Linked DNA regions of Anolis sagrei. The main gene of each other region encodes a partner of the protein of the gene in region 2 in a complex. Links are inferred from orthologs where the notes say so. Each region holds a gene or a part of one and is shown on either strand. Other genes may lie near its edges. The genes, in order: STX18, VAMP7, STX4 and BET1L.

Evidence for each region.
Region 1: VAMP7 (region 2) and STX18 share a complex: the UniProt entries of both Homo sapiens proteins name them as parts of the SNARE complex. The link is inferred for Anolis sagrei from reciprocal best matches to the Homo sapiens genes VAMP7 and STX18.
Region 3: VAMP7 (region 2) and STX4 share a complex: the UniProt entries of both Homo sapiens proteins name them as parts of the SNARE complex. The link is inferred for Anolis sagrei from reciprocal best matches to the Homo sapiens genes VAMP7 and STX4.
Region 4: VAMP7 (region 2) and BET1L share a complex: the UniProt entries of both Homo sapiens proteins name them as parts of the SNARE complex. The link is inferred for Anolis sagrei from reciprocal best matches to the Homo sapiens genes VAMP7 and BET1L.

What each region holds. Positions count from the first base shown.
Region 1 is NC_090025.1:106,541,838-106,549,990, reverse strand, and holds the start of STX18 (syntaxin-18), read right to left. Parts: upstream 3,117-8,153; 5' UTR 3,047-3,116; coding exon 2,861-3,046; intron 1-2,860. UniProt on the Homo sapiens protein: Syntaxin that may be involved in targeting and fusion of Golgi-derived retrograde transport vesicles with the ER.
Region 2 is NC_090030.1:14,746,493-14,754,725, forward strand, and holds the start of VAMP7 (vesicle-associated membrane protein 7), read right to left. Parts: upstream 3,307-8,233; 5' UTR 3,193-3,306; intron 3,139-3,192; exon of another isoform or gene 3,029-3,138; intron 1-3,028. Other genes in the region: DNA-directed RNA polymerases I and III subunit RPAC2-like, read left to right, coding at 3,415-3,459, 7,754-7,851. UniProt on the Homo sapiens protein: Involved in the targeting and/or fusion of transport vesicles to their target membrane during transport of proteins from the early endosome to the lysosome. Required for heterotypic fusion of late endosomes with lysosomes and homotypic lysosomal fusion.
Region 3 is NC_090026.1:14,722,615-14,730,280, reverse strand, and holds the start of STX4 (syntaxin-4), read right to left. Parts: upstream 3,260-7,666; 5' UTR 3,157-3,259; coding exon 3,127-3,156; intron 1-3,126. UniProt on the Homo sapiens protein: Plasma membrane t-SNARE that mediates docking of transport vesicles. Necessary for the translocation of SLC2A4 from intracellular vesicles to the plasma membrane.
Region 4 is NC_090021.1:237,756,510-237,763,960, forward strand, and holds the start of BET1L (BET1-like protein), read right to left. Parts: upstream 3,290-7,451; 5' UTR 3,205-3,289; coding exon 3,186-3,204; intron 1-3,185. UniProt on the Homo sapiens protein: Vesicle SNARE required for targeting and fusion of retrograde transport vesicles with the Golgi complex. Required for the integrity of the Golgi complex.

The DNA.
Region 1 (8,153 bases), on a different chromosome or scaffold from region 2:
GGAGCTCTGGCGTGGCTAGTCCATGAGATCACGAAGAGTCAGAAACGACTGAACGAATGAACAGCAACAACAAATATGCAAATATAAGTATTCCAAAATTGGGGTGGGGGGCAGAATCTAAATACTTCTGGTTCTAAGCATTTTGTGTCAAGGCTGCTCAACCTGTATTGATGCTTTATCAATATCAAGTAGAAAGAGATCCTCACCACCAGCACCAATACACATACAAATAAAATAGCAAATGAGCCTAAGGACAGATCTACACTGACCATTCTTCAGTGTGTGGTGGTTAGGCTACACACACTTCAAAGGCATACCTCAGTGCACTTTAAGGGCTTTAAATCAAGCTCACTACAGTCAGAGGAAAGTCCAAAATAAAGTCCTTAATGCACATAAGCACACTCTAGTGTAAACCACATTTCACAGAAAACCCCTTTCGTAGAATGGGAATCACTGTGCAGAAACCCAAAACACTCTGCTGATCGAAGGATGTACATTCCGGTGGAGAGGGTTGAAAAAAAAACCCCCCACATTCTCTGCATTTATCAAGTCCCACAGATACTGTGGATCCTAGAACTGGTTCACGGTCAACCTCTGCGTTATATGAAATTACTATACAGGTGTCAAACCAGTTCCAGTGTTTCCAATGTAATCAGTCACACACCGACACTGCTTCCTTCTATGCCGATTTCAAACTCACCTAAGAACTACAGAAAAAGTGGAAAACACCAAGAGAAATGTGATACGGAAATGCATATCTGAACTGTGGTAGTTGGTCCATCTTCCCTACTAAGCTTCAACACCTCTCTTGTGAACACATAAATGACAGACTTAAGGCCTTTCCACACAGCTCTATATCAAAGAATATCAAGGCAGGAAATCCCACATTATCTGAGTGTGAACTCAGATAACCCAGTTCAAAGCAGATATTGTGAGATTTTCTGCCTTGATATTCTGGGATATAGGGCTGTGTGGAAGGGCCCCAAGTCCATACTCTGATAACGTGGGATTTATTTATTTATTTATTTTGCCTTGATATTCTGGGATACAGGGCTTTGTGCAAGGGCCCCCTGTTCAAAGCAGATATAGTGGGATTTTCACCCTTGATATTCTGGGATATGGGGCTGTGTGGAAGGGCTACGATATAAAATCCACATTACCTGCTTTGAACTGGATTATATGAGGCCCCTTCTACACTGCCACATAATCCAGATTGTCAATGCAAATAATCCGCATCATCTGACTTGAATTGGATTATATGAGTGTACAGTGCCATATAATCCATTTCAAAGCAAATAATCTGGATTTTATATGGCAGTTTAGAAGGGGGCTCTGTCTCCAGAAGACAATCATAAAAAGAACCTTAATACCTGGCTCTTCCGCTGCGCTTTTGATGAATAGGTTTACATCTTCATACTAGTGCATCAACACTTTGTCATTAGAGTACATGCCCTCCCTTGTGGGAAAGCCTGATCCCACAACCACCACTATAATGAGCCCTCCTCTGCAAATAATCTGTTTCTTTCTTATCTCACCTGAGTTTTAATCAGTTTTTAATCAGTCTCTCTTTTAACCATTACATGTAATCCGCCCACTGTCATTGTGATTGTGCCTACTGTAATTTTATATTGCTATGTTTTTCACATGTTCTATGTAATTATGTTGCTGTTGTTTATTGTTTGCGTTTTTGGTTTTATTTTATTGTAATTTGTTGTTTGGGCTTGCCTCATGTAAGCCGCTCCGAGTCCTCATTGGGGATATTTTTTTTTGTCATGTCAGGAGCGACCTGAGAAACTGCAAGTTGCTTCTGGTGTGAGAGAATTGGCCGTCTGCAAGGACATTGCCCAGGGGACACCAGGATGATTTGATGTTTTTATCATCCTTGTCATGCGGGGACATGAGAGAAGCCTCCCACAAGGATGATAAAAACATCAAATCATCCTGGTGTCCCCTGGGCAATGTCCTTGCAGACGGCCAATTCTCTCACACCAGAAGCAACTTGCAGTTTCTCAGGTCGCTCCTGATGTGACAAAAAAAATTGGCAGACGGCCAATTCTCTCACACCAGAAGCGACTTCTGACACGACAAAAAAAAAAATCATCCTTGTGGGTGGCTTCTCTCATGTCCCCCGCATGAGGAACTAGAGCTGATAGAGGGAGCTCATCCGCCTCTCCCCGATTCGAACCTGCGACCTGTCAACCTTCAGATAGGGGTTTAACCTACTGCGCCACTAGGGGCTCCACCATTGGCGAGATGGTGGCGGGGTATAAATAAAGTTTATTATTATTAATATTATATTCTCATATTCAGCCACAAGTGTTTGCCTATGCATATAGGTATGTTGCAAAAATGTAATGAGAAACCTCTAAGAGCCCTTCCATACAGCCATATAACCCATAATATCAAAGCAGAAAATCACACATTATCGGAATGTGGACTCGGATAACCCAGTTCAAAGCAGGTAATGTGGGATTGTCTGCCTCGATATTCCGGGATATAGGGATTTGTGGAAGGGCCCTGAGGCACCTTCCACACAGCTATATAAAATCCATATTGAACTGGATTATATGGCTGTGTGGACTCATATAATCCAGTACAAAGCAGATATTGTGGATTATCTGACTTGATATTCTGGGCCATACAGCTGTTTGGAGGGGCTCTGAGGTTTAAGCTGACTTTCTCACAAGGAAATCCCATTGGGTTCAATGACTGATTCCCAAATGTCATTCCTTTCAATAGGATTGAGACTCCTTTTTATGTTCTCTCCCCTAAAATCTCCCGGAAGGAGCCCAGAGCCACGTCGCAGCCTTCCTGCTTTCCCTCCCTGCTAGCTTTCCTTCCTTCCTTCCTGAGGACTCACCACTTCCCGGGCCCGGTTGGAAAAGTCGCTCCTTGGCCGGGAGCGCTTGAGGATGAGGAGGGCCTCATCGCGGGAGGAGTCGCTGCTGCTGCCTCCGCTGCCGCCCAGCGGGACCCCGAGCGCCTTGTTCCGGGTCTTCACCGTCTTCACGCTGGCTTTGAACAGCAGCGTGATGTCCACGGCCATGGCTGGGCTGAGGCGGGCAGGTGGGCGGGCCTCTCCTGCCCACGCGTCCTTTCCTCAAAGCCTTCCCTCTCGCAACTGGGCCGCGCCCGAAGGTTCCGCCTCCACTGAGTGCCCTCTTGGTGACGCCCTCGCCCTGTCTGAAATTGACATGTCTCATAAAACGTTTCCTTGGCAACCTCTCACTTCCTGTAGGGACTTCCTGTAGTGGAGTAATCTCGTCCCCCAAAGATGTTTGGACTGCTTTCTTCCTGCATCTCATTTTGAAGCATGGCATGATTCTCACCTAGAATCATAGAATCATAGAGTTGGAAGCGATCTCGTGGGCCATCCAGTCCAACCCCCTGCCAAGAAGCAGGAAAATTGCATTGAAAGCACCCCCGACAATGGCCATCCAGCCTCTGTTCAAAAGCCTCCAAAGAAGGAGCCTCCACCACACTCTGGGGCAGAGAGTTCCACTGCTGAACAGCTCTCACAGTCAGGAAGTGAAATGACCAAGGCAGAGACATCTCCAGCTCATCCCCTGTTTGGGTATCAGCCAGCACGTCAGCGACTTAAATCCAGACATAGTTTTATAAGATCTACAGAGACACTCGCTGGAACGCCTCAGCAAGCGAGAGTCCAAAAGTGGCAGGCTCAAACCCAGAACCTCAACCAATGGCTGATACCAAATGAGAAACTCCCCGCTGGGCACACAGAGGACTGGGCGACTTGGAAGGCGCTGAACAGACTGTGCTCTGGCACCACGAGATGCAGAGCCAACCTTCAGAAATGGGGCTACAAAGTGGAATCCTTGACATGCGAATGTGGAGAGGAGCAAACCACAGATCACCTGCTCCAATGCACCCTGAGCCCTGCCACATGCACAATGGAGGACCTTCTTGCAGCAACACCAGAAGCACTCCAAGTGGCCAGATACTGGTCAAAGGACATTTAATCAACTACCAAACTCACAAATTTTGTATTTTCTCTGTTTGTTTGCTTTGTTCTGTTAGAAATGTAATATAATTGACTGGCTGCCCTGACACGAAATAAAAAAAAAAGTCAGGAAGTTCTTCCTAATGTTCAGATGGAATCTCCTTTCTTGTAATTTGAAGCCATTGTTCCGCGTCCTAGTCTCCGGGGAAGCAGAAAACAAGCTTGCTCCCTCCTCCCTATGACTTTCTCTCACATACTTATACATGGCTATCATGTCTCCTCTGGCTACCAGTATTAAAAAAACTCTAAAATTACAACAGCACAACAACAGAGAGGAAACAAACAAGGACATCTAATCACCTCTCAACAAAAGTTTGCTCTAGGCACTGTCAAGCCATTATATGCTAATCAAGGTGGTCAGTTGGAACATTCACACCTAGCTCCAGCAGACAAGAGTCCTTTGTCTCACCATGGTCATTCCACAGATATATAAACCCTTTTTCCTAGCTCCAACAGACCTCACTACCTCTGAGGATGCTTGCCTAGATGCAGACAAAACATCAGGAGAGAATGCCTCTAGACCATGGCCATATAGCCCGAAAAAACCTACAACAACCCATGTCTCCTCGGTTTTCTCTTCTTCAGGCTAAACATGCCCAGCTCTTTAAGCCGCTCCTCATAGGGCTTGTTCTCCAGGCCCTTGATCATTTTAGTTGCCCTCCTCTGGACACTTTCCAGCTTGTCAACATCTCCCTTCAACTGTGGTGCCCAGAATTCGACACAGTATTCCAGATGTGGTCTAACCAAGGCAGAATAGACAGGTAGCATGACTTCCCTGAAAATCTGTATGTGTTAAGAGTGAAAAAGCCTTGGGTGTAATGAAAGTGAAAGCTGCTCCTTGTAGGGCTTGTTCTCCAGACCCTTGATTGTTTTAGTCGCCCTCCTAAGGACACTTCTCTCCCGCGATGCCATATTCACAGCTGTGAATCCCAAGGAGATTTCACTATGCAACACGATTTTTGTTCCTGGGTTATAAATGCCATTTCCGAATTGGTTCTATCATAAGAAAATGAGATTTTTTTTATTAAACAGACAAAACTTTGTGTTTGCATGTTATCCTGCAGCACATTTTGCTATGGTTTTTCAATGACTCTCTCATCCAGTCTCAACCAATTCAACATTGTTTGTGGCAGCCACAAAAACAAAGTTTCTGGGGTATAACAACTACTTTCAAAGTATGTTGTTGTTGTTCATTCGTTCAGTCCTCTTCTGACTCTTTGTGACCTCATAGACCAGCCCACGCCAGAGCTCCCTGTCGGCCATCACCACCTCCAGCTCCTTCAAGATCAAGCCAGTTACTTCAACGATGCCATCCATTCATCTTGCCCTTGGTTGGCCCCTCTTCCTTTTTCCTTCAATTTCCTCCAGCATCGTCTTCTCTAAGCTTTCCTGTCTTCTCATGATGTGGCCAAAGTACTTAATCTTTGCCTCTAATATCCTTCCCTCCAATGAGTAGTTGGGTTTTATTTCCTGAAGTATGGACTGGTTGGATCTTCTCACAGTCCAAGGCACTCTCAGCACTTTCCTCCAACACCACAATTCAAAAGCATCTATCTTCCTTGGCTCAGTTTTCCCTAAGGTCCAGCTCTCACATCCATAGGTGACTACGGGGAATACCATTGCTTTTACTATGAGGATATTTGTTGCCAGTGTGATGTCTCTACTCTTCACTATTTTATCAAGATTGGTCATTGCTCTCCTCCCAAGAAGTAAGCATCTGATTTTCTGGCTGCAGTCTGCATCAAAGTCTTACTTCAAAGTAAGTACCGCACAATTAAGGAAATAACCCTTTCAAACCAAGAACAGATTTTTTACTCCCAAATTTTGTTTCATAGTATCATTGGGAACGTGCTCCCTGCGCAAAAGGTTGTTGTTGTTGTTCATTCGTTCAGTCGTCTCCGACTCTTCGTGACCTCATGGACCAGCCCACGCCAGAGCTCCCTGTCAGCCGTTACCACCCCCAGCTCCCTCAAGGTCAGTCCAGTCACTTCAAGGATGCCATCCATCCATCTTGCCCTTGGTCGGCCCCTCTTCCTTTTGTCTTCCACTTTCCCCAGCATAATTGTCTTCTCTAGGCTCTCCTGTCTCCTCATGATGTGGCCAAAGTACTTCAACTTTGTCTCTAGTATCTTTCCCTCCAGTGAGCAGTCGGGCTTTATTTCCTGGAGGATGGACTGGTTGGATCTTCTCGCAGTCCAAGGCACTCTTAGCGCAAAAGGTGCTGCTGTATAAAAATTGTTGCATTTATTGATCTGAGAGTTGGTTTCCTTTGCCACCAGAAGAGGCCACTGCCTGCAAATGTCTGCCTATTTAGCTGCCAAAAGTTCCTTACAGCTATTTGTTAAACAAAACAACATTAAAACCATGCCCTGTGTATTCAATAGCAATTTAGTAAACCCTGATTTGTAGGGATTTTGTTGTGTTTTTTATGGCCCCTTCCACACAGTCAACAGTGTGGTGTGATAGCTAAATAAACCAATACTTTTCTAGGCTGCATCAATAGTATAATGCCCAGATTGAGGGAAATGATTGTCTTGTTTTATCTATTTTATTGACTCCACTCTTTGATCAGACCTCACAGGAATAATGCGTCCAGTTCTAGGCACCACAATTTAAGAAGGATATTGTTATTGAGAGGAACCAAAAGTAGCCTGGAAGCCAAAACCTTATGAGGAGCAGCCTAGGGAGCCGGGTATGTTTAGACTGGAGAAGAGAAAGTTAAGAGGTGATGTGTCAGACCAGGTGTGGATAAACCCATGCCTGGGGGCCAAATGCAGCCCCTTGGACTTTTTTCTCAGGCCCTCCTCTCTCCCACTGTCTTATCCTTCGCTCCCTCGCTTCCTTCCTTCTTTACCCTTTTCTCCCTCCCTCCTTCTCTTCCATTTTTTCATCCTTCCTTCCTTCCCTCTTTCCTCCCTCCTCTCTTTCTCCTTCCTTCCCTTTTGTCTTTCCTCCCTCCCTTCTCTCCCTCCCTCCCTCCAACCATTCCCTTCCAACCTTCCTTCCAATCATCTCTTCCTCCCTCCCTTCTCTTTTTCCTTCCTCCTTTCCTCCTGGGTGGATGTTTAGCTGGGAGAAGAGAAGGTAGAGTGGGAGCATGAGAACCATGTTTCAAGATTCCAGAAGGTGTCCCATTGAGGATTTCCTGCTGCTTTAGAGACCAGGGCACAAGGGAGCAATGGGTTCAAACGGCAGGGAAAGATATTTGACTGGATGGGAATGACATACTAGCTACCCCCTTTTCTCCTAGAAGTTAAATGGATATTTAGACTTTAGTTGAAGAGAAGAAAAAAACAGAGCCATATTACACACTCTTTGGCTTTTAACCAGCAGCAGGATGGCATCTTCTGTATTATTTTCCTGCAAACTTAAATAGTCTTCTGCCAAGTTGACTTATCTTCACAGCAATTTCCATTAATAGATCACCAAGTTAAAAGAAAATAATTTCAAGTTCTTCTGATGCTTAAAATGTGGAGCCCTGTTAACAGAAGTCAAAGAATTGAAAAAACGACCTCACAATTTGATCTCGTTGAAAACCAGACCATTTTATTTTATTTTTCTCTACCCACAGGCCACCTTACTGAGTTGCCAGGTAAGGATAACAAATAATCTTTGCTACATCATCTGAACTGTTTTTAAGTTGTGACTTGATTAAAACAGTGTAATATAAATAGCTGTTGCATAGGGTGGTGTGTGTATGCCTTTCTCCAGAACGAAATGTGTCCTATGCTAAAATAGATCCAGAATGGGTCCAAGGTTAAAAAAAAATCCATGCTACTAGTTGGTATTTGTGATTCTTATCAGTATTCATTTGGCTACAAGGAGCCCCCGGTGGCGCAGTGGGTTAGGCCCCTGTACCAGCAGGACTGAAGACCAACAGGTCGCAGGTTCAAATCTGGGGAGAGGCGGATGAGCTCCCTCTATCAGCTCCAGCTCCTCATGCGGGGACATGAGAGAAGCCTCCCACAAGGATGATAAAAACATCAAATCATCCGGGCGTCCCCTGGGCAACGTCCTTGCAGACGGCCAATTCTCTCACACCAGAAGCGACTTGCAGTTTCTCAAGTCGCTCCTGACACCACAAAAAAAAAATTGGCTACAGTAAGCAGCCCATCATTGGAAGCTATGCAGT
Region 2 (8,233 bases):
CATATAAATATTAAAATCACATGATCCAAAAAGATGGTAGAATCCAAGCATGACAACAAGTCACAATCTTGACTCTAGGCCAAACTGACAACGTAATTTTGAAGGTCTCCTCCAGCTCCCAAATACCATAAACAGAAGTCACACTTGGCAAATGGTTTTTTTAAAAACTAGGGCACATGATCCAATGGCAGCCCTTGCAGTAAGAAAGTTTCTTAAAGGGCAAGGAATCTTAGCTTCCTATTATGCCTCTTGCTTCTTGTATAAAACTATTCAAGAAAGCAGAAGTGTATTAATGCAATCCTAGCCACATAGTTTGCCAAAGGGAAAATCGGTTGCTCCTTGCCCAAGTTGCTCCATCCAGAAAAGGCTTTTTAAAAACCTTCTTAGCTTATACTACGGTACTAATTATTTATTGTCTACTCACATTACTTCCATTTTATATCCCCTTCAGGCGCTAACCTTACACAAAAGAATAGTCACTGTGACTTTTCAAATGTAATCTCTTCAAGACATTATGTTCTAGGATGGCACTTTATTTTGTCAAAGAAGATTAAAAGATACAGGTCTTTCTGCAGCACAGGAGGATGAGAATGGTCCTCCTGTGCTGTTGCGCAGACTTCGCAAAGTATGTAGTAATCACATCAGGGCTTTTTCTCCAAATGTTCTGTGAACCTTCCATACAGACACCTAAAATCTTGCCTTACAATGTTAACTGGTTTTAATCGCTGATTGAGTCAACTACGTGACCCACTGTGTTTGTGCACTTAATACAAGGGTATCTTTTGTTTTCTCTGCTGAAGAATCAGCAGAGAAAAGCTTTTGTTTTACTGCAATGTTTTTGAAACACCAAATAGATATGAGAACCTATTAGTATGTAAGGTAAAAGCCATCCCTGGGTTCCATTTGAGGTTCTATGGTTGATGTCTGCTAGAAGTTGATCAAAGAATTGTACTCGAAGAGCTAGAGATTTCTAGAGAGAAACATCAAATATAATCCATGAACAATCAAATCTGCAAAAGTCAAAACCACCAAGGGCCCCATCACACTAGCCTTTAAGGACTGCAATTTCATAGGACATTAAGGGAAACATATCCTAAAGGCACTAGAGTCTGTCTGATCTTGGAAGCGGAATGGTTATGATCTAGAAGGGAGACTGCCAAGCACTACAGATGAAATCACCTCTGATCACTCCTTGTCTGAGAACTCCTCAAGAAATCTATGGGGTGGTCATAAATTGACAGTTGATACACATTCAGAGAGCTACAGCACTTTTCCAAATTACAAATCCAAGGATGATACATACTGCATCCTAGGAAGACAACTGCCCGGAGTCCCCTTGGAAAGAGGGGGCTGTCTAGAAATAAAGCATTATTGTAATTACTGTTACTATTATATCCCAGGGCAAAAAGTATGCACCCTGAGGCAGGATAATATGAATCTACACTACCGCACAATCCAGTTCAAAGCAGACAATCTGGATACAGAAACTGGATTATATGGCAGTGGAGATGAGACCCACAAGAGCATTAAAGAGGAGGAAGCAGAGACAAGTGTTATCCTCTTCAAGAAAAAAGGAGAAGCAACATTAAGAAAAGCGCTGAGAAAGAAAGGCTGGGAAGCTTGACCAGGGCCCTTTCCACACAGCTGTATAAAATCCACATTGAACTGGATTATATATATGGCAGTGTGGACTCAGGGCCCTTCCATACAGCCATATAATCCAGAATATCAAGGCAAAAGATCCCACCAAATTTCCTTTGAATTGGGATATCTGAGTCCACACTTCCATCTATTCCAATTCAAAGCAGATAATGTGGGATTTTATTCAGTTGTGTGGAAGGAGCCTCGGTTATATTGGGAGTCCATACTGCCATATATCCCAGTTCAAAGCAGAAAATGTCAGATTTTATTCAACTGTGTGGAAGAGGCCTCAGATAACCCACTTCAAAGAAGATATTGTGGTATTATCTGCTTTGATATTCTCGGTTATATGGCTGTGTGGTAGGCCTGCGTCTATGCTAGTATATAATCCAATTCAAAGCAGATATTGTGGGATTATCTGCCTTGATATTCTGGGTTATATGGCTGTGTGGTAGGCCTACGTCTATACTAATATATAATCCAATTCAAAACAGATATTGTGGGATTATCTGCTTTGATATTCATGGTTATATGGCTGTGTGGTAGGCCTACGTCTATGCTAGTATATAATCCAATTCAAAGCAAATATTGTGGGATTATCTGCTTTGATATTCTCGGTTATATGGCTGTGTGGTAGACCTACGTCTATACTAGTATATAATCCAATTCAAAGCAGATATTGCAAGATTATCTGCCTTGATATTCTGGGTTATATGGCTGTGTGGTAGACCTACGTCTATACTAGTATATAATCCAATTCAAAGCAGATATTGTGGGATTATCTGCTTTTATATTCTCGGTTATATGGCTGTGTGGTAGGCATACGTCTATGCTAGTATATAATCCAATTCAAAGCAGATATTGTGGGGTGATCTGCCTTGATATTCTGGGTTATATGGCTGTGTGGTAGGCCTATGTCTATGCTAGTATATAATCAAATTCAAAGCAGATATTGTGGGATTATCTGCTTTGATATTCTGGGTTATATGGCTGTGTGGTAGGCCTATGTCTATACTAGTATATAATCCAATTCAAAGCAGATATTGTGGGATTATCTGCCTTGATATTCTGGGTTATATGGCTGTGTGGTAGGCCTACATCTATACTCGTATATAATCCAATTCAAAGCAGATATTGTGGGATTATCTGCCTTGATATTCTGGGTTATTTGCCTTGTGTGGTAGGCCTACATCTATACTCGTATATAATCCAATTCAAAGCAGATATATGGCTGTGTGGTAGGGGCCCGAGTCCACACTGCCATATAACCCAGTTCAAAGCAGATATTGTAGGATTTCCTGCATTAATATTCTGGGTTATATGGCTGTGTGGAAGGACACAATTGAGAAGGAAAGGAGGAAGGCTTCAGTCAGGCCTAACCCTTTACCTGAGGGTGGGGGCGTTGCTATAGCAACAGTGGCCTAGTCCGAGGCTTCACTACCACCAAGGAGGCAGGTCTCCTCCCTCAGCGGCAACCAAGCCTCCTATTTGGTGAGAACCGCCGTTCCGTCTCTTCCCCTCTCCTTCTCCCCGGCTTTTCCGCCTCCTCACCTGGCCAAGCGCCCGCCCGGACCCTCCAGGCCCCGTCCTGTAATCGACAAGCTTCCAGGACAAGCCAGCAGCGCGTGAGCTTCCGCCCCTGGCCGCAAAGGCTCCTGGGAAGCCGAGTTCGGACGCCGGGGAAAGACAGGAAGTGACGACAAGAGCGAGGCCGGAAAGCTGCCAGTAGACAACACAAACCGGAAGTGTTTCTCGTCTGTTTCTGAGGGAAAGATGGGCGAGGAAGAGGAGAAGAGGAAGCCCCCGTCTCTGCAGATGGTGAGGGAGGGCAGTGTGACTCCTGTCTTCACCTTTTAGTGATGTACAGTATCTACATGTGACTTTCCTTTCTCTGAACCATGCCTTCCATATCAGAATGTGTGTGTGTGCTGTCGCACGCTGGGCCTGTGATTAAGACTGTAGACAGGACATAAATTCTGTGTGCCCAACGGGACGCCGGGGCTGCCTCAGATTAAAGACCTTTGGATTTCCTTAAAACAGAGTCTTTGGATTGCTTAAAGGTTCAACAAAGTTCTTTATTAATGAAAACAAACAGGTACTTTAAGGCTTTCTTAACAGTCTATTGGCTCTCTCTCAGTCTTGTCCACAGGGAACAGGCACTATCTTCATAACTGTAACTAATGGGGAAATCCTTAACTTCTAATCTGGGCAGCCTGTCTTTGCCTCTGTTGGCGTGGAGACCCTGGCTTCCGCGAATGACCCTTACCAAGCAGAGCTTTGTAGACTTCCAGGGGAAAAGGAGTTCAGGTTTCTGTGATGGCTGACTGAAGTCCTTCAGCAAAGGAACTGTAGGGCTGTATAACCCCAGCCAAGCTGTGGGCTGTATATCTCCCCGGCCAAGCCGTAGAAGACGAAGCTTTCTACAGGAGCTCTTGGTATTATGTCCTGCATGAAAGGCATCTCTGTGTGGACTGACCCAAAAAGTCTCCTATACCCTCCAAAAACCCAAAAAGGGGCGGGACCAGGGAACCTAACTATAATTGACAGGTGGCTTGCCCTATGATTGCAGCCAAAGGAAGCCACCTATCTGCAGAGTCCCTGAAACTTAGGACTACAACAAACATTCAATGCAAAGCAAACAAAATTGGAGTTCCTGGTACAGTTGTACCTGCACAGTGTGTGTGTATCAGGCCTGGGCAAACTTGGGCACTCCAGGTGTTTTGGACTTCAGCTCCCAGTATTCCTCACAGCCTCAGGCTTAAGCGGCTGAGGGGGAAATGGAAGGGGCCTGAGGTTGTTAGGAATGCTGAGAGTTTATTTCTTTATTTCTTTATTTAGAACATTTAAATACCACCCTTCTCACCCCGAAGGGGTCTCAGAGCGGCTTACAAGATATATTTTCATACTATTATTAGCATAGTACAATATTAGTATTATATATTACTATATTGTACTATACCATTGTTCAAGTATTAGTATTATATATTACTATATTGTTCTATACCATGTTCAAGCTGGGTTTAGAAAAGGCAGAGGAACGAGAGACCAGATTGCCAATATCCGGATGCTGGATAATGGAGAAAGGCAGGGAGTTTCAGAAAAACATCTATTTTTGCTTCATTGACTACTCTAAAGCCTTTGACTGTGTGGATCATAATAAATTGTGGCAAGTTCTTGGTGGGATGGGCATACCAAGCCACCTTGTCTCTCTCCTGAGGAATCTGTACAAGGACCAAGGAGCAACAGTCAGAACTGACCATGGAACAACAGACTGGTTCAAGATTGGGAAAGGCGTACGGCAAGGCTGCGTACTCTCACCCAACCTTTTTAACTTGTATGCAGAACACATCATGCGATGTGCGGGGCTTGAGGAATGCAAAGCTGGGGTGAAAATTGCTGGAAGAAACATTAACAACCTCAGATATGCAGATGACACCACTTTGATGGCCGAAAGCGAGGAGCTGAGGAGCCTTCTATTCAAGGTGAAAGAAGAAAGCGCAAAAGCTGGATTGCAGCTAAACATAAAAAAAAACCAAGATCATGGCAACAAGAATGATTGACAACTGGAAAATAGAGGGAGAAAATGTGGAGGCCGTGACAGACTTTGTATTTCTAGGGGCAAAGATTACTGCAGATGCAGACTGTGGCCAGGAAATCAGAAGACGCTTACTTCTTGGGAGGAGAGCAATGTCCAGTCTCGATAGAATAGTAAAGAGTAGAGACATCAGACTGGCAACAAAGATCCACCTAGCCAAAGCCATGGTATTCCCTGTAGTAACCTACGGATGTGAGAGCTGGACCTTAGGGAAGGCTGAGTGAAGGAAGATCGATGCTTTTGAGCTGTGGTGTTGGAGGAAAGTTCTGAGAGTGCCTTGGACTGCGAGAAGATCCAACCAGTCCATCCTCCAGGAAATAAAGCCCGGCTGCTCACTGGAAGGAAGGATACTAGAGACAAAGTTGAAGTACTTTGGCCACATCATGAGGAGACAGCAAAGCCTAGAGAAGACAATGATGCTGGGGAAAGTGGAAGGCAAAAGGAAGAGGGGCCGACCAAGGGCAAGATGGATGGATGGCATCCTTGAAGTGACTGGACTGACCTTGAAGGAGCTGGGGGTGGTGACGGCCGACAGGGAGCTCTGGCGTGGGCTGGTCCATGAGGTCACGAAGAGTCGGAGACGACTGAACGAATGAACAATGTTTTAAGGGCACTGTTTCATTATCTGGGCAGAGGCTACAAGGGGGCGATAGAGAGAAAAGGATAGTCCATTTTATGGGAGTGGAGGGCCCCCCAACTGATGACATATGGAGGAGACAAAATGGAACTGTCCCCTGCCTCCCCCCTTCACTATGGCCCAGAGCGGCAGTTGGTGCTGGGGGGAGGGGTTCCTAACTGATCACATATGCAGGAGACAAGATGGAACTGTCCCCTTCCCCCCCCCCCATCTCTTCACTCTGGCCCAGAGCGGTAGTTGGTGCTGGGGGGAGGGGGTCCTCAACTGATCACATATGCAGGAGACAAGATGGAACTGTCCCCTGGAGTTGAAGTCCAAAACACCTGGCAGGTCCAGGTTTGCCCATGCCTGATAAACATGGTTGAACAGAAGCTCTCCGAAGCTTTAGATGTTTTTACAACTCTGAGGATTACCTGCGAAAGAGTCCCACTAGAGCATTGCAGCACACCCAAATACCTGGGAGTTACTCTGGACTTACAAGAAGCACTGGCAAAAAATGGGTGCTAGAAATATGCAGGTGGACCAAAAAGTTTTGCCTCCTGCATCATAAAAATGTTATAAATGAACATTTAACAGCAGAAGTTGCTCCAGATCATAGCCTGAACTGTCCTCTATCCAAACTATTATTCAGCATGGTCACCATCAATTTGTACACATTTGCACCAGAGATATACAGAAACCACATCCTTAGATGCTGCTGTATGCCAAAGATGTTATGTTAGCCGCCGAGTCATGGGTAGAGTTGCAGACTCAAGTGCAAGTGTGGAAAAATCATGTGCAATATTTCGGACTACAGCTTAACATCTCAAAAAAGTACATGGAATGTGGACCAACAGTAGAGGATGGCTCCATCAATATCAAGGGGACTGACCTCAACAAAGTGACCAGCTTTAAATCCCTCGGCTCAAAGATAACCTCTGCCTGCGAAGTACTGTCGGATGGTCACGGACATGTAAACTCCATATGGATGAAGTGGAGAGCAATGACAGATGTAATGTGTGATAAGAAGATCCCAATCCACCTAAAATTGAAAATCTACAGGACGGTGGTGAGACCAGTCGCTCTATACACCACTGAGTGTTGGCCAACCACTAAGGCAGTTGAACAAAGTCTGGTCACCTTCAATGGGTGTTAACCTGAAGGACAGGTTTCCAAACAATACAGTGCACTCCATCTTTGGCAGTTTAATAAACTTTTTGATAAATTGGATATGGCAGTGTTAACTCAGATAACCCAGTTCAAAGCAGATATTGTGAATTATCTGCCTTGATATTCTGGGTTATATCAGAAGCAGACAGAAGGTGGCAGCAGAACAGAGCAGCTGCTGAGACAGAAGACAGCCCGGAGCACCAGAGAAAAGGCAGAAAAATGTCTTGATGAAATTAATGACATACTATCAATTAATATACCTAAAATCCAAATATAGCACTTCTATTAAATTTTGGAGACATAAGATTGAAATGGCAGAATAAAGAATTAATAGTAATTTTTGTTATTGCTTTAAGATTAGAAAACTGTCTTGAGACCTGCCTTGAGAAGGGGACAAAGCTCAGGATTCCCACCCAAACAGCCTGAGCAATTGGCAAATTTGTGTTTTTTTTAATACATTATAACTTTATTCTCAATTTGCTTCTAACATGATAAATAAGTCTGAGCAGTATTTCTCATCCAATGCTGGCGGTTCATAGCTACTTAAGAAGGCCTGCATCCCATGCCATTGTTCAGCCATGAGTCCCCAGCCCTCCCCATTATTGTAGACACTGGGCTAAGAAGCTGTATCTCCATGAAAAGCAACATGGCCTGTACATAGAAGAAGATGTGTTACTTCCATGGAATGGTTTTGGGGAAATGAATGTCCTCTTCCTCTGCTGTTCCCACAGGTACGAACTGAAGGCTCAGATAAGAGCTGTGTCACCTTTGTGCTCCACAATGAGGACCACACTCTTGGCAACTCTCTCCGGTACATGATCATGAAAGAGTAAGTATGTTTCTTCTTAATGAAGTGCCTATTAAATTAACAACAGAAGAACTTTTCTGTCAGGAATCACAGCTTGGATTGGGCCATAGATCCTTAGAAACAGCCTTTCAGCATGACCAACAATAGTTTGGAGATTCTGAGACCCAAATAAGTAATTTTCCCATTATTTTTTTATAAACATGAAAGAAAATTAATGTTTGGTAAAGTGTTCTGCCTCCGATTCCATTTTATGGCCCCATTGGTCTTAAAATAGGAAGCCTTTCTTCTACTGATTTGGTGGTAGATGTGCCAAATCTGCTGGTGCTCTTCCAAGCTCAGTCCCATTACAGTATGTAACACAATTTTTTCTTGGGTTATAAATGTCATTTCCTGATTAGTTCTA
Region 3 (7,666 bases), on a different chromosome or scaffold from region 2:
GTTATGTTAATCCCTCAAACTAACATTACATTTTTATTTATATAAATTAATTAATAATACAAATTTGGTGTCAATTTGCCCAGTGTTTTTTGAGTTATGTTAATCCCACAAACTACCATTACATTTTTATTTTTATAGATCAATTAATAATACAAATTTGGTGTCAATTTGCCCGGTGTTTTTTGAGTTATGTTAATCCCACAAACTACATTACATTTTTATATTTAATAGATTAATTAATTATACAAATTTGGTGTCAATTCGCCCAGTGTTTTTTGAGTTATGTTAATCCCACAAACTACCATTACATTTTTATTTTTTATAGATTAATTAATAATACAAATTTGGTGTCAATTCGCCCAGTGTTTTTTGAGTTATGTTAATCCCACAAACTACCATTACATTTTTATTTTTATAGATCAATTAATAATACAAATTTGGTGTCAATTTGCCCGGTGTTTTTTGAGTTATGTTAATCCCACAAACTACATTACATTTTTATATTTTATAGATTAATTAATTAATAATACAAATTTGGTGTCAATCCGCCCAGTGTTTTTTTGAGTTATGTTAATCCCACAAACTACCATTACATTTTTATTTTTATAGATTAATTAATTATACAAATTTGGTGTCAATCCGCCCAGTGTTTTTTGAGTAATGTTAATCCCACAAACTACATTACATTTTTAATATATTAATTAATTAATACAAATTTGGTGTCAAAATTTGGTGTCAATCCACCCTGTGTTGTTTGAGTTATGTTAACCCCACAAACTAACATGACATTATTTATATAGATTCACAACCACCTCCTTTCCTTCCATTTTTGTGGCTACATTTCATGAGGAGAGACTTCAACTCAAGACTAAATATAGATCATTTACATCTATATATATAAATTTGTTAGGGGCATCCAACGGAGAAACAAAACTCAAAAAACCCCCAACGAAACTTAACCAAAATTCCCATGCCCATAACACAACCCACAAGGTACAAACATATCTACTCAAAATGAAAAACAACACAACAACACACTCACAAAACGGCAAAACAACAAAACTCAAAAATCCCCCAACGAAACTTAACCAAAATTCCCGTGCCCATAACACAACCCACAAGGTACAAACATATCTACTCAAAATGAAAAACAAAACAACAACACACTCACAAAACGGCAAAAGAACGAAACTCAAAAAACCCCCAACAAAACTTAACCAAAATTCCCATGCCCATAACACAACCCACAAGGTACAAACATACCTACTCAAAATGAAAAACAAGACAACAACACACTCACAAAACGGCAAAACAACAAAACTCAAAATTCCCCCAACGAAACTTAACCAAAATTCCCATGCCCATAACACAACCCACAAGGTACAAACATATCTACTCAAAATGAAAAACAACACAACAACACACTCACAAAACGGCAAAAGAATAAAACTCAAAAAAACCCCAACGAAACTTAACCAAAATTCCCATGCTCATAACACAACCCACAAGGTACAAACATATCTACTCAAAATGAAAAACAACACAACAACACACTCACAAAACGGCAAAACAACTGAGCATGCACATTGGCGCCCAGCCGCAAGTTCCCTGGCGCGTGCACATGGCCTTCCGGCCAACGTTCCCTCTGCCCACTCCAAGCCCCGCCGCGCCGCTTCCCGCACACACACACCCCCTGCCGCACACACACACACAACCCCACACTCCATCACTCCCCCCGCCGCCGCACACACACACGCAACCCCACTCCCCCCGCCGCCGCACACACACGCGCAACCCCACACTCCATCACTCCCCCCGCTGCCGCACGCACACACGCAACCCCACTCCCCCCGCCACCGCACACACACACGCAACCCCACGCTCCATCACTCCCCCCGCCGCCGCACGCACACACGCAACCCCACTTCCCCCGCCGCCGCACACACACACGCAACCCCACGCTCCATCACTCCCCCAGCCGCCACACACACACACGCAACCCCATGCTCCATCACTCCCCCGCCCCAATCTTACCTCCTTTTACTTCACACCACCTCCAAACCCCACCCCGCCCCTTCCTGCCCTGTCAAAATCTAGGAAAGACAGGAAGGAAGGAAAGAAGGAAGAAAGAGAAAGGGAGGTAAAGAAAAAGGGGGAAGGAAGGAAAGTTAGAGAAAGAAGGAAGAAGAAAAGGAAAGAAAAGGAAAGATGGAAGGAAAGAAAAGAGAGACAGCAGAAAAGAAAGAAACGGGGAAGGAAGGAAAGAGATAGAGAAAGAAGAGGAGAAGGAAAGATGGGAGGGAAGGAAGGAAGGAGGGAAAGAAGGAGAGAAAGAGGGAAGATTGGCCACATTTCTATTATTATTATTACTATTATTATTATTATTATTATTATTATGCTATTGTTCCTATGAGACCCTAGGGGAATGGGAGAGGTGTCAGGTCCCAGAGGCAATGCATTGCATTATTGTTATTGTTATGATGGTGGTAAAATAAAAGGAAATAAAAAGTGAAAGAAGGAAGCAAATAGGGAGGGAAGAAAGGCAAAGGAAGAAAGGGGGAGGGAATGAAGGAAAGAGAAGGATGAAACCAAGTAGTGAAAGAAAGAAAGAGGTAGAGAAGGAAGAAAGGAGAGAAAGGGGGAGGAAAAGGGGGAAGGAATAGGTAGGGACCTCTCTTTCATAATAGTCCAGATATCTACCTCAACTTTGATAAGTTTTACTATAGGCCACAGCAACGCGTGGCAGGGCACAGCTAGTTTATTATATTTAGGTTACTTTAGGGGTTACAACTTTGTTAGGCACTAAAAAAAAAGAAAGGGGAAGCCCAGGAAAGCAACACTATTGTCATGGGAGGATGAAAAAGAGGCAGAAATAAGGGCCAAAAAAAGATGGAGGAAAACAGAACACCCCCTCCTCCCAACGGAGGGAGTGTGACAGGAACAGCCAACGAAGCAGAAATATACGGAGGGGGAAGGGGGGGATGAACGGAAGAGCGGAGTCCCCTCGCGCCACCAAGAGAGGCGGGGCCTCAGCGACCGTTGTGGGCGTGGCCAGGCGCGCGGGGGAGAAAGAGGGCGCGCGTGCGGATTGCGGGGGGGAGGGGGAGGGGGTGATGTGCTCCTTACCTCTCTGAGCTCGTGCGTTCGGTCCCTCATCTTCTTTTTTTTTTTTTCTCACAACTCTGTGAGGAAGCGGAGTGAAGGGGGAGGGGTTGGAACTAGAAGGGAGAGCACAAGGCTGCGCATGCGCGCGCTCTGTTCTCAAATCTGTTTGGCGCTCCTCGCTCCGCCCTCCTCCCGGAGCTATAGACAGGACATCTCCGTAGTGCGCATGCGCTGTGCCATTTTCGCCTCTGGAGAAGCCAGTTCCTCTTTTTCCTCACAGTCGACGGGAAGATGAGGTGCGGCCCGGAGGCGTTAAAAGACTCCAAAGCCGTGTGTTTATGCTATTACGGAAACGATCCTCAATCAATTTTCCCCCCCACCTTTCACATTAAGAAGTTGCTTCAATGGAGTAATTATTTTAGGGTTTAAAAACAGGAAGTGACGTCAGGCGTATACATTGAAAGCTCATCTGCAATATGTCCGCTGCCGGATGTTGTCACTCCACCGGATGTCTTTTTTTTAATTCATCGGTAATGAGTGCCATAGGACAGGCATAGAGCAAACTTGGGCCCTCCAAGTCCTTTGAACTTATAGAATCAAAGAGTTGGAAGAGACCTCATGGGCCATCCAGTCCAACCCCCTGCCAAGAAGCAGGAATATTGCATTCAAATCACCCCTGACAGATGACCATCCAGCCTCTGTTTAAAAGCTTCCAAAGAAGGAGCCTCCACCACACTCCGGGGCAGAGAGTTCCACTGCTGAACGGCTCTCACACTCAGGAAGTTCTTCCTCGTGTTCAGATGGAATCTCCTCTCTTGTAGTTTGAAGCCATTGTTCCACGTCCTAGTCTCCAGGGAAGCAGAAAACAAGCTTGCTCCCTCCTCCCTGTGGCTTCCTCTCACATATTTATACATGGCTATCATATCTCCCAGTCACTTGAAGTGACTGGACTGACCTTGAAGGAGCTGGGGGTGGTGACGGCCGACAGGGAGCTCTGGCGTGGACTGGTCCATGAGGTCACGAGTCGGAGACGACTGAACAAATGAACAACAACAACAACATCATATCTCCTCTCAGCCTTCTCTTCTTCAGGCTAAACATGCCCAGCTCCTTAAGCCGCTCCTCATAGGGCTTGTTCTCCAGACCCTTGATCATTTTAGTCGCCCTCCTCTGGACACATTCCAGCTTGTCAATATCTCTCTTGAATTGTGGTGCCCAGAATTGGACACAATATTCCAGGTGTGGTCTAACCAAAGCAGAATAGAGGGGTAGCATTACTTCCCTGGACCTAGACACTATGCTCCTATTAATGCAGGCCAAAATCCCATTGGGTTTTTTTGCCCCCACATCACATTGTTGGCTCATGTTTAACTTGTTGTCCACGAGGACTCCAAGATCTTTTTCACACGTATTGCTCTCAAGCCAGGCATCCCCCATTTCGTTTTTCCTGCCAAAGTGGAGTATCTTGCATTTGTCACTGTTGAACTGTTGAACTTCCACAATTCCTAACATGAAGAGTGAAGGGGGGGGGGGGGGCAGGGGTCAGTTCCACCTTGTCTCCTGTTCTATGCTTATGTAATATAATATATTGTATATAATTGTATATAATATATTGTATATAATGTAATATAATGTAATATAATAATACAATATATAATATATTGTATATACAAGGTGAGGCAGCATAACTTCCTTTTTTCAATCCTCCAAGGTTGAGGGGTGTGCTGTCGCATGCTGGGCCTGTGCATAAGACTGTAGACAGGACATAAATTCCGTGTGCCCAACGGGACGCCGGGGCTGCCTCAGATTAAAGGCCCTTGGATTCCCCCAAACAGAGTCTTTAGATTGCTTAAAGGTTCAACAATGTTCTTTATTAATGAAAACAAACAGGTATTTCAAGGCTTTCTTAACAGTCTATTGGCTCTTTCAATCTTGTCCACAGGGAATAGGCACTATCTTCATGACGTATTTTATCTAATGGGGAAATCCTTAACTTCTAATCTGGGCAGTGTTTCTTTGCCTCTGTTGGCGTGGAGCCCTTACACCTGGTACCAACTGCGTCTGGCTTCCGCGAGTGACCCTTACCAAGAAGAGCTTTGTAGACTTCCAGGGAAAAAGGAGTTCAGGTTTCAGTTATGGCTGGCTGAAGTCCTTCAGCAAAGGAGCTGTAAGGCTGTAAAATCCTCAGCCAAGCTGTGAGGCCTTTTCTCCCCGGCCAAGCTGTAGGCTGTATATCTCCCCGGCCAAGACGTAAAGCTGTATATCTCCCAGCCAAGCTGTAGAAGACGAAGCTTTCTACAGGAGCTCTTGGTATTCTGTCCTGTGAAAGGCTTCTCTGTGTGGACTGAACCAAAAAGGCTCCTATTCCCTCCAAAACCCCAAAAAGGGGGCGGGACCAGGGAACCTAACTATAATTGACAGGTGGCTTGCCCTATGATTGCAGCCAAAAGAAGCCACCTATCTGCAGAGTCCCTGAAACTTGGGACTATAACAAAGCAAACAAAATTGGAGCTCTTGGAACAGCTGTTCCAGAACAATTCCTAACATAAAGAGTGAAGAGAGGGGGGCCAGGGGACAGTTCCACCTTATCTCCTGTGCTATGCTTATAATATAATGTCATATAATGTATTGTAGATACAAGGTGAGGCAGCATAATTTCCTTTTTTCAATCCTCCGAGGTTGAGGGGTCTGTTGGATACTAGGAAAGTGAGGTTAATATGTAATGCAATATAATACTACTACTACTACTACTAATAATAATAATATGGCATTATAATTATATATTTATATTTCATGGAATACAGGGTGCAGCAGCATAACTTTCTTTTTTAAAACTTAATAAAACTCATTGTATGAATCAGAATTTTTTAAATAATAATTTTTATTGAATTTTTTATATAATAACAGAATTTGAATCAGAATTTTTTTTCATAATGTAGGCGCATACCTAAAGTTTTGTTTCACGTAGTTTTGAAAATCAAATTAGGTAGGTGACGTCCCCCATTCTCCATACACTGAGTAAACCGATTTCTGGCGTTTGTCATTACTCTTGCCAGCGTAGCAGGAGTTACGTTGGCAATTTCTTCCTGGATGTTGGTCTTGAAATATTGTAGGGTCCTTGGACGGTTCACATAAACACGGGATTTCAAAAAAACCCATAGAAAAAAATCACAAGGGGCCAAATCTGGAGAGCAGGCCAGCCACTCCAAATCCGCTCGAAAAGTAGGCCTCAACGGCAAAATCACGCTCCTCACTGTTCCAATGCATGATGGCGAATGAATTGTGTCAGGACAAAACTTTATACCCGCCCAGGGCCGTACCCAGAAAATTTCAGGGGGGGGGGGGGGGTTGAAACCTGCCTCCTAGCTCACGCTGAAGCAAAGAGCACAGCAGGGGCAGAGCAGCTTTCAATAGCCTGCAGCTCTGCCCCTGTCAACCACCTCCACCAAGTCTGGCCTCCTTAATGAGAGCATTCAACACCCCCCCCCCCCAACTTGGTTGCTGCGCTACATCAGCTAATGACAGTGTGAATAAATTGTCGATATTTGTTTGAGATAGTGCTTGCAGTTCTGGAGGGACTCTTAATTTTTTGCGTCTCATAGACTTAGCATGGGGATTTGGTTAACCAGTTAAAATTAATGAGTAAACCAAGTTTTTTTTTACCTGAAAATTTTTTGGGGGGGGGGGTTAGGGGTTCAGGCTTGCTCCCGCCTCTCGCTCCGCTACATTTTTAACTGCATTTTAAAAAAGGAAGTTATGCTGCCTCACCCTGTATATATATTTATAATATTGTAATGTAATACAATATAGTACTAATAATCATATACAGGGTTAGTCAAAATGCATAGGCCAATAAGCCATTCAATTGAATGGCTTATTGGCCTATGCATTTTGACTAACCCTGTATTATAATTATATATTTTATATTACATGTAATATTACTAATATTACAATATAATGGTATAGTACAATAGTATATAGTAATATATAATACTGATATTGTACTATGCTAATAATATAATATATTGTATGTATATATATCTTGTTAGCTGCTCTGAGTCCCCTTCGGGGTGAGAAGGGCGGCATATAAATGTCGTAAATAAATAAATAAAAAATAGCAGCCTCAGGCGCCTTCCTTTTCCTGCAGCTGCAGCTGACGGGCAAAAGGAAGGGGCCTGAGGCTGCTAGAAATTGTGGGAGTTGAAGTTCAAAACACCGGGAGGGCCCAAGGGTAATAGTATGATAGCTGGTTGCGGAAGCTCCGAGTGTTATGGAGATGCTGCATCGCAACATAGACTAAGCTAATGTAAGCCAGGCCGGAGACAGATAATATAGAAGGATTCTAAGAGTTCTTTAACGGTGAAACCCTAATCCTTACCCCAACCCTGAACCGCACCGTAAACCTAACCCCTTGTTGTTCATTCGTTCAGTCATCTCCGACTCCTCGTGACCTCATGGACCAGCCCACGCCAGAGCTCCCCTTACCCTAACCCAAACCCTAAACTTACCCTAACTGTAACCCCTAACCCATACCCAAACCTTAAACCTTGCCCTAACCCTT
Region 4 (7,451 bases), on a different chromosome or scaffold from region 2:
AATATCTGCATTTTTATGGGCCTTCTGGGTAGCTTTTCGCAAGATGTGGCGCCCCCTTTCCAAGGAAGCTAGTCTGGTCCTCTCCATATTGTCATTTTTAAAAAATATCTTTTCAATCCAGGCATATTTTGGAAATGGATTGTTGTGAAAAGGGCTGTTAATAGACTAGTGCTATATTTTTTAATTCAATGCACTTTAACATTATAATTTGGTTAATTGTGTTTTAATGTTATAACTTCTCCATTCTTTTTAATCTTGTGAGCCATCATGAGACCCAGTTTCAGAAGCAAAGTGCCATACTTTGCAGTATTTTTACAGGAATAAGGAAATTCACAATAGATGAAGTCAAAGGACCACATGCAGCAGAAACCACCAGCAAGACCTGAGTACAACTCCATCTCACAAGCCCCAGCGATGGACACACGGCAACCCAAAGTAGCAGCCATTGATGGCTCCTCCCTCTTTGAATATATGGAAACCCTCTTTCAAGCCATTCCAGTAGCAGCCATGTCTACATCATGTTGCAGTGAGTTTCAAAGTTTAACTGTGAAACTCACTGCAACATGATGTAGACATGGCTGCTACTGCTAATGGATTCATGCTCTGTATAGACATGGTGCATGTGCTAATGGATTCTTGCTCTGTATTCACAGCCACAGAACACAGCATTTTCCCCAGTATGTGGAAAAATTCCCATTGCCGTCATAGAAAGTCATGCTGGTAGTTTACATGCATTTCAATAAAAACAGTGTCTCATATAACCATTTTATATTCTTTAATGCCACACTCTTTTTCTACTGCTGTCCAGCCAGGATCCATAATTGGAGAACTTTGCTTAACCCCATGTAACCACCATTATTACTATTACTATTATTATTGCTCTTCTTCTTCTTCTCCTCCTCCTCCTCCTCCTCCTCCTCCTCCTCCTCACCAATACCCCGCTTTATCTCTCCCAAAGGAGACTCAAAGTGGCTTACATTAAAAGTATGACCACATAATTTTAAATATAAAAATATGCAAATATTAAAACAGAATTAAATGTAACAGTATTAAAAAAAATCAGTTTCCACACATAACCACCCAAAATGAAAGCAGAACAAATGGAGAAACCAATAATGGAAATACAGGGTTGGAATATCCCTTATTCATAAATCCCCAAATCCAATCTCAGCACAATGGCTGAGAAAGTAACATCTTTGTTTTTTCTAAGGGTTCAATATGTCCAACCTGGTTTCACGCACAAAATTATTTTAAAAAAAATCTTTGTATATAAAACAACCTTGAGGCTATATATGCATGTATGAATCATAAATGAATGTTGTGGGTGTCACATCTCCATGATGTCTCATTACTGATAGGCAAGGATTTTAGAATCTGAAAAAATCCAAAACACAGCCATCCCAAACATTTTGGGGAAGGACAGAAGTCCACTGAAATAAGAAAGTAGCAAGACATTTGCTTTCTGATGGATCAGTATATACGAACTTTGCTGCATGCCTGAAATTCTTTAAAACTGTTTATGAAAGGACTCTTAGGCTATGTAAAGTTATTCTTAACTTGTAGCCTTCCTTTTGATTGTAAGGATAGGAATAAACAATAAATAAATAAGCCAGTGACTCAACAAATTAAGCAAAGTTTTTGAATACTGTTTATATTTAATCCTGTTTTAATGTTTGTATATTTGTAAATGTTTATGCTGATGCTTTTATATTGAGTTGCTTTGAGCTGCCTTCAAGGGAGATAAAGCAGGGTATAAACAAACATAACCACAATAATAATAATAATACTAATTGTATATTTGTAAAAGATTATGCTGATGCTTTTATGTCAAGCTGCTTTTAGTCACCTTTGGGGAGATAAAGTAATAATATATTATAAGTAACAAGTAATAATATAAGTAATATAAGTAATAATAGCAACAACAACAATACTTGTATATTTTAAATGGTTATGCTGATGTGTTAATGTCAAGCCACTTTTAGTTGCCTTCGGAGAGATAAAATGGGGTATAAATAAACATGATTTTTTTTTGTCGTGTCAGGAGCAAGTACCTTCTGTTGTGAGAGAATTGGCTGTCTGCAAGGATGTTGCCCAGGGGATGCCTGGATGATTTTGATGTTTTTATCATCCTTGTGGGAGGCTTCTCTCATGTCCCCGCATGAGGAGCTAGAGCTGACAGAGGGAGCTCATCCGCCTCTCCCCAGATTCGAACCTGCGACCTGTCGGTCTTCAGTCCTGCCGGCACGGGGAGGGGGGGTTTAACCCACTGCGCCACCGGGGGCTCCTTAATGATGATGATGATGATGATGATGATGATGATGATGATAATGTATCATAAATGAATGCAAAGACTCTGGCACAAGCCAGTAAAGGTGGTCCCAGTGGTGATCGGCACACTGGGTACAGTGCCTAAATACCTTGGCCTGCACTTAAAAACAGTCGGCGCCTACAATATTACCATTTGTCAGTTGCAATAGGCCACCCTACCTGGTTCTGCATACATTATTTCCTAATACATCACACAGATACTTGGGATGTGTCTGAAGTGTAATCAAATACAAAAGCCAGCACAGCGTTCTTGCTTGCTGTGCACTAATCTTTTTGTGTATCAAATAATAATGTATAATAACATATATACACATATATACAAATGAAGCAAATGAATGTCCTGTTTAGCTTTTGAGTCCTATCTCTAGGATACCTAATTTAATATAGGTGAATATGCCACAATCCAAAATACTTCTGGTCTCAAGAATTTCCGGCATGAATAATTCCTTTTCTTTTTATTCAGTGGGTCTACACTTGTGAACTAATGCAGTTTGAAACAGATTCAACTGCCATGACTCAATGCTATGGAGTTAAGATGGGCAATACTGTGCCTGACTCACTATTTCAGCTGTCAAAGGGCATTTCTGTGAAAGAAAACAAAGGAGACGTGGGGGGAGAACCATTTAAAGCAGGCCTGGGCCACCTTCGGCCCTACAGGCTGTTAGGAATGGTGGGAGTTGAAGCCCAAAACACCTGGAGGGCCCAAGTTTGCCCAGGCCTGCTTCAACGGGAAGGAGGGCCCTCTCCCCAAAACAAAGGGAAGGCTTAACTAGGGCAGAACGAAGGGCGCCCACTCTCCTCCTCCCTCCGAGGCCTACCGCCTCCCCTCAGACACCGCTCCCTCCCTCCCTTCCTACCTCGGCCCCAATCCGCCATGGCTGCCTCTTGCCTCCGTGTCCCATCCGGAGCCAAGGCGAGAGGCGGTGCCAAGGAGGGCAATCGATCTGCAAACGAACCAATCAGGGAAGAGGGCAAGGAGGCCGTGGGGCGGGGATTGGATAAGCGCCTCCCCCGAGAGCGGAAGAGTGCGGCTTAGACCGCCATTTTTCCAGAGGGCATGCTCCCTGAGTGGGAATGGGCCGCCATGTTTCTTGAGGGCAGGAACAGGAAGTGGCTGCCCTTTGGATTCTCCGCCTCGGGCATCCAAGAGCATTGGCCCCGCCCCTGTTTGTGACGTAGGTTGCTGCCTCTGTAAGGTTTACAGAATGATAGAGCTGGAAGGGAACCCTAGAGGCTATCCAGTCCAGCCCCATTCTTGGCAAATTAATTACAAAAAAAATAAACTATAAAAAGGGGGAACCAAGTTTCTTGGTTTCTCTTCTGTCCTTACACAAATCTGGTTTCTTCCCCCCCCCCCTCTAAATATCTTCTGTCCTGCCTGTCTTGGAGTGCATCTACCAGGCATGGGCCAACTTGGGCCCTCCAGGTGTTTTGGACTTCAACTCCCACAATTCCTAACAGTACCTAACAAAATCAGCACTGTAAATGAAGAACAACACTCAAAAACAGGGGAGTTTCTTGTCTGGAGACAAGAAACAATCAGGACCAGCTAATCACCTCCCAACAAAGGATTCCCCCAGGCAGTATGAAGCCAGACCTTGAAACAGCTAGGCCACTGAATACTAACCAAGGTAGTCCATTGAAACATTGAAACGTTTTTTCTCCCACTTTGGACATTCCACATAAACCCCATTTTCCTAGTTTCCTCTTGTCTGTTTGAGCCAAGTGTGAATGTTGCAATTGGCCAGCTCGATTAGCATCAAATAGCCTTGCAGTTTCAAAGCCTAGCTGCTTTGCCTCACGCAGACAAGAGTTCTTTCTCCCACCCTGGACATTCCACAGAAACCCCATTTTCCTAGTTTCCTCTTGTCCATTTGAGGCAAGTGTGAATGTTGCAATTGGCCAGCTTGATTAGCATCGAATAGCCTTGCAGCTTCAAAGCCTGGCTGCTTTGCCTCACACAAAGCAGACAAGAGTTCTTTCTCCCACCTTCCACCCTGGATATTCCACAGAAACCCCATTTTCCTAGTTTCCTCTTATCTGTTTGAGGCAAGGGTGAATGTTGCAATTGGCCATCTTCATTAGCATTGAATAGCCTTGTAGCTTCAAAGCCTAGCTGCTTTGCTTCACACATGCCTCAAGCAGACAAGAGTTCTTTCTCCCACTTTGGACATCCCACAGAAACCTCATTTTTCTAGTTTCCTCTTGTCTGTTTGAGGCAAGGGTGAATGTTGCAATTGGCCATCTTGATTAGCATCGAATAGTCTTGCAGCTTCAAAGCCTGGCTGCTTTGCCTCACACTTGCCCCAAGCAGACAAGAGTTCTTTCTCACACCTTGGACATACCACAGAAACTCAATTTTCCTAGTTTCCTCTTGTCCGTTTGAGGCAAGTGTGAGTGTTGCAATTGGCCAGCTTGTTTAGCATCAAATAGCCTTGCAGCTTCAAAGCCTGGCTGCTTTGCCTCACACTTGCCCCAAGCAGACAAGAGTTCTTTCTCCCACCTTGGACATTCCACAGAAACCCTATTTTCCTAGTTTCCTCTCGTTTTTTGATGCAAGTGTGAATGTTGCAATTGGCCAGCTTGATTAGCATCGAATAGCCTTGCAGCTTCAAAGCCTGGCTGCTTTGCCTCACGCAGACAAGAGTTCTTTCTCTCACTCTGGAGTATCCACAGATATATAAACCCCATTTTCCTAATTTCCAGCAGACCCCACAACCCTTGAGGATGCCTGCCATAGATGCAGAGGGAACGTCAGGAGAGAATGCTGCTGGAACATGGGTCCTACAGCCCGGAAAACTCACAGCAACCCAGACTTTAGCATCCTCTGCCAAAGAGTGCTGGTGTCCTCCGGCAACTGGCGCCCCCTCTTGGCTGCCTTTCCTTCCTTTTGGCTTCCCTTTCTTGTCCTGGGGGAAGGAAGGAAGGAGGAGGCAGCAGCAGGGAATGAGGCGAAGAGACTGACTTCCCACCACAAGCAGCTCGGCTGCAAAGGAAGGTACAAGCCGCCCTTCCCCTTCCTGGGGTTCCCTTGGGTTCCCCAATAAATGGGGTGGCTGGGCTTGCTGGGAGGAGGGTTGCATACTGATATGATCCCAATCACGATGATCATAATATGTCACTTTGTATCTTGGATTAAGGAAACCAGATTGGGAAATGTTTCCTAACCACTCCCCTTTTGTAAAGGTAGGTAGATATCTGGGCAAGACTGGAATCCAATGGGTTTTTGGAGGATGTAAACAAGGCTTGGCTAAATGAAACCTTGGATGCGCGTACACTTTAGAAGAAATCCAGCTTGACACCACCTTAAATGCCATCACTCAATGCTCTGGAACATGAGAGTTGTAGTTTGATGAGGCACCAGCACTCCCAGGCAGAGGAAGCCTTATAAAACTACAGCTAAAGTGGTGTCAAACTGCATTATTTCTACGGTGTAGATGTTATGGATGGCGTGATTTTAATGCTGAATGTAATTTTTTAAATTTTTAAATTATGTATTCATTTTAATTCAGTGGATTTTAAGCTTAATGTTTGTATGTCTCCTATGCTATGCTAATAATGTAATATAATGTAACATATTGTATATACATATAATATTTATAATATTATAATGTAATGCAATATAATACTACTATTAATAATATGATATTATAATTATATATTTATATTACATGTAACATTACTAATAATATTACAATATAATGGTATAGTACAATATAGTAATATTTTAATATTGTATATACATATAATATTTATAATATTATAATGTATTGCAATATAATACTAATAATAATATATTATAATTATATATTTATATTACATGTAATATTACTAATCATATTACAGTATAATGGTATAGTACAATAAAGTAATATTTAATATTGATATTGTACTTTGCTAATAATACAATATATTTTATGTATATATATCTTGTAAGTGGCTCTGAGTCCCCTTTGCAAATAAATAAATAATATGTGTTTAAAGCATTGAATAATTACCATATGTTGGCTGCCTTCAATCCCCCTTGGGGTAGAGAAAGATGATATAAATAGGGTAAATAATTAAATACATTATTGATTCTTGTGAATTCTTTGTGATGCCAGAGTTATATTTTCATATTAGATATAATTTAAATTAATTTTAAGTGAGTTGTTTGTTTAATTTGATATGTGGTTGTAAACTTGATTTATGTGCATTTTAAAGTGATATACATTCACTTTTTTGGGATTTGGGCGGTTTGTTAATGCATTTGTATTTGTTATTCTTATTGTATAGGCATTAAATGTTTTGTTTTCCTTCTGTTGTTGGAATCTGCCCTGAGTTCTCTAGGAATACAAATAAAGCTATTATTGTTGTTGTTGTTGTTGTTGTTGTTGTTGTATTGTTGAAGGCTTTCATGGCTGGAATCACTGGGTTGTTGTAGGTTTTTCAGCTGTATGGCCATGTTTTAGAAGCATTCCCTCCTGACGTTTTGCCTGCATCTGTGGCAAGCATCCTTAACCTCACAGCCCAAAAAACCTACAACAGCCCATTATTATTATTATTATTATTATTATTATTATTATTATTGTCATCCCAGGTCTGATTCCAGACCTACATTTTTGTTCATAACAAGTCCAGGCTTGACTTGTGTAAAATATTAAATAATTTCTGAATATCTGTTTCTGCTAGTGCACTCAACAATGTTTATATTGACCCCTATAGGGGAAATACACCTGCTGAGTTGCATCTCTTACCTGAAATTCTGAAATACTCCAAATTTGAAAATAGATGGCCAAGAGACTGGCATCTCTGCTTTTTGGTAGTTCAATGCACACAGACTTCAAACAGATTTAAAATATGTGTGACATTATCTTCAAGCTATGTTTATAAGGCAGGCATGGGCAATCTTCAGCCCTTCAGGTGTTTTGGATTTCAATTCCTACAATTCCTAGCAGCTGGTAGGCTGTTAGGAATTGTGGGAGTTGAAGTCCAAAATACCTGGAGTGCTGGAGTTGGCCCATGCCTGCTATAAAGTATAAATGAATTAGGTGTTTAGATTTTGGGCCCATCTTAATATATGTCTTAATCAAATGTATATGCAAATATCCCAAAATCTGGGGGGGGGGGGGGGGGATCCAAAA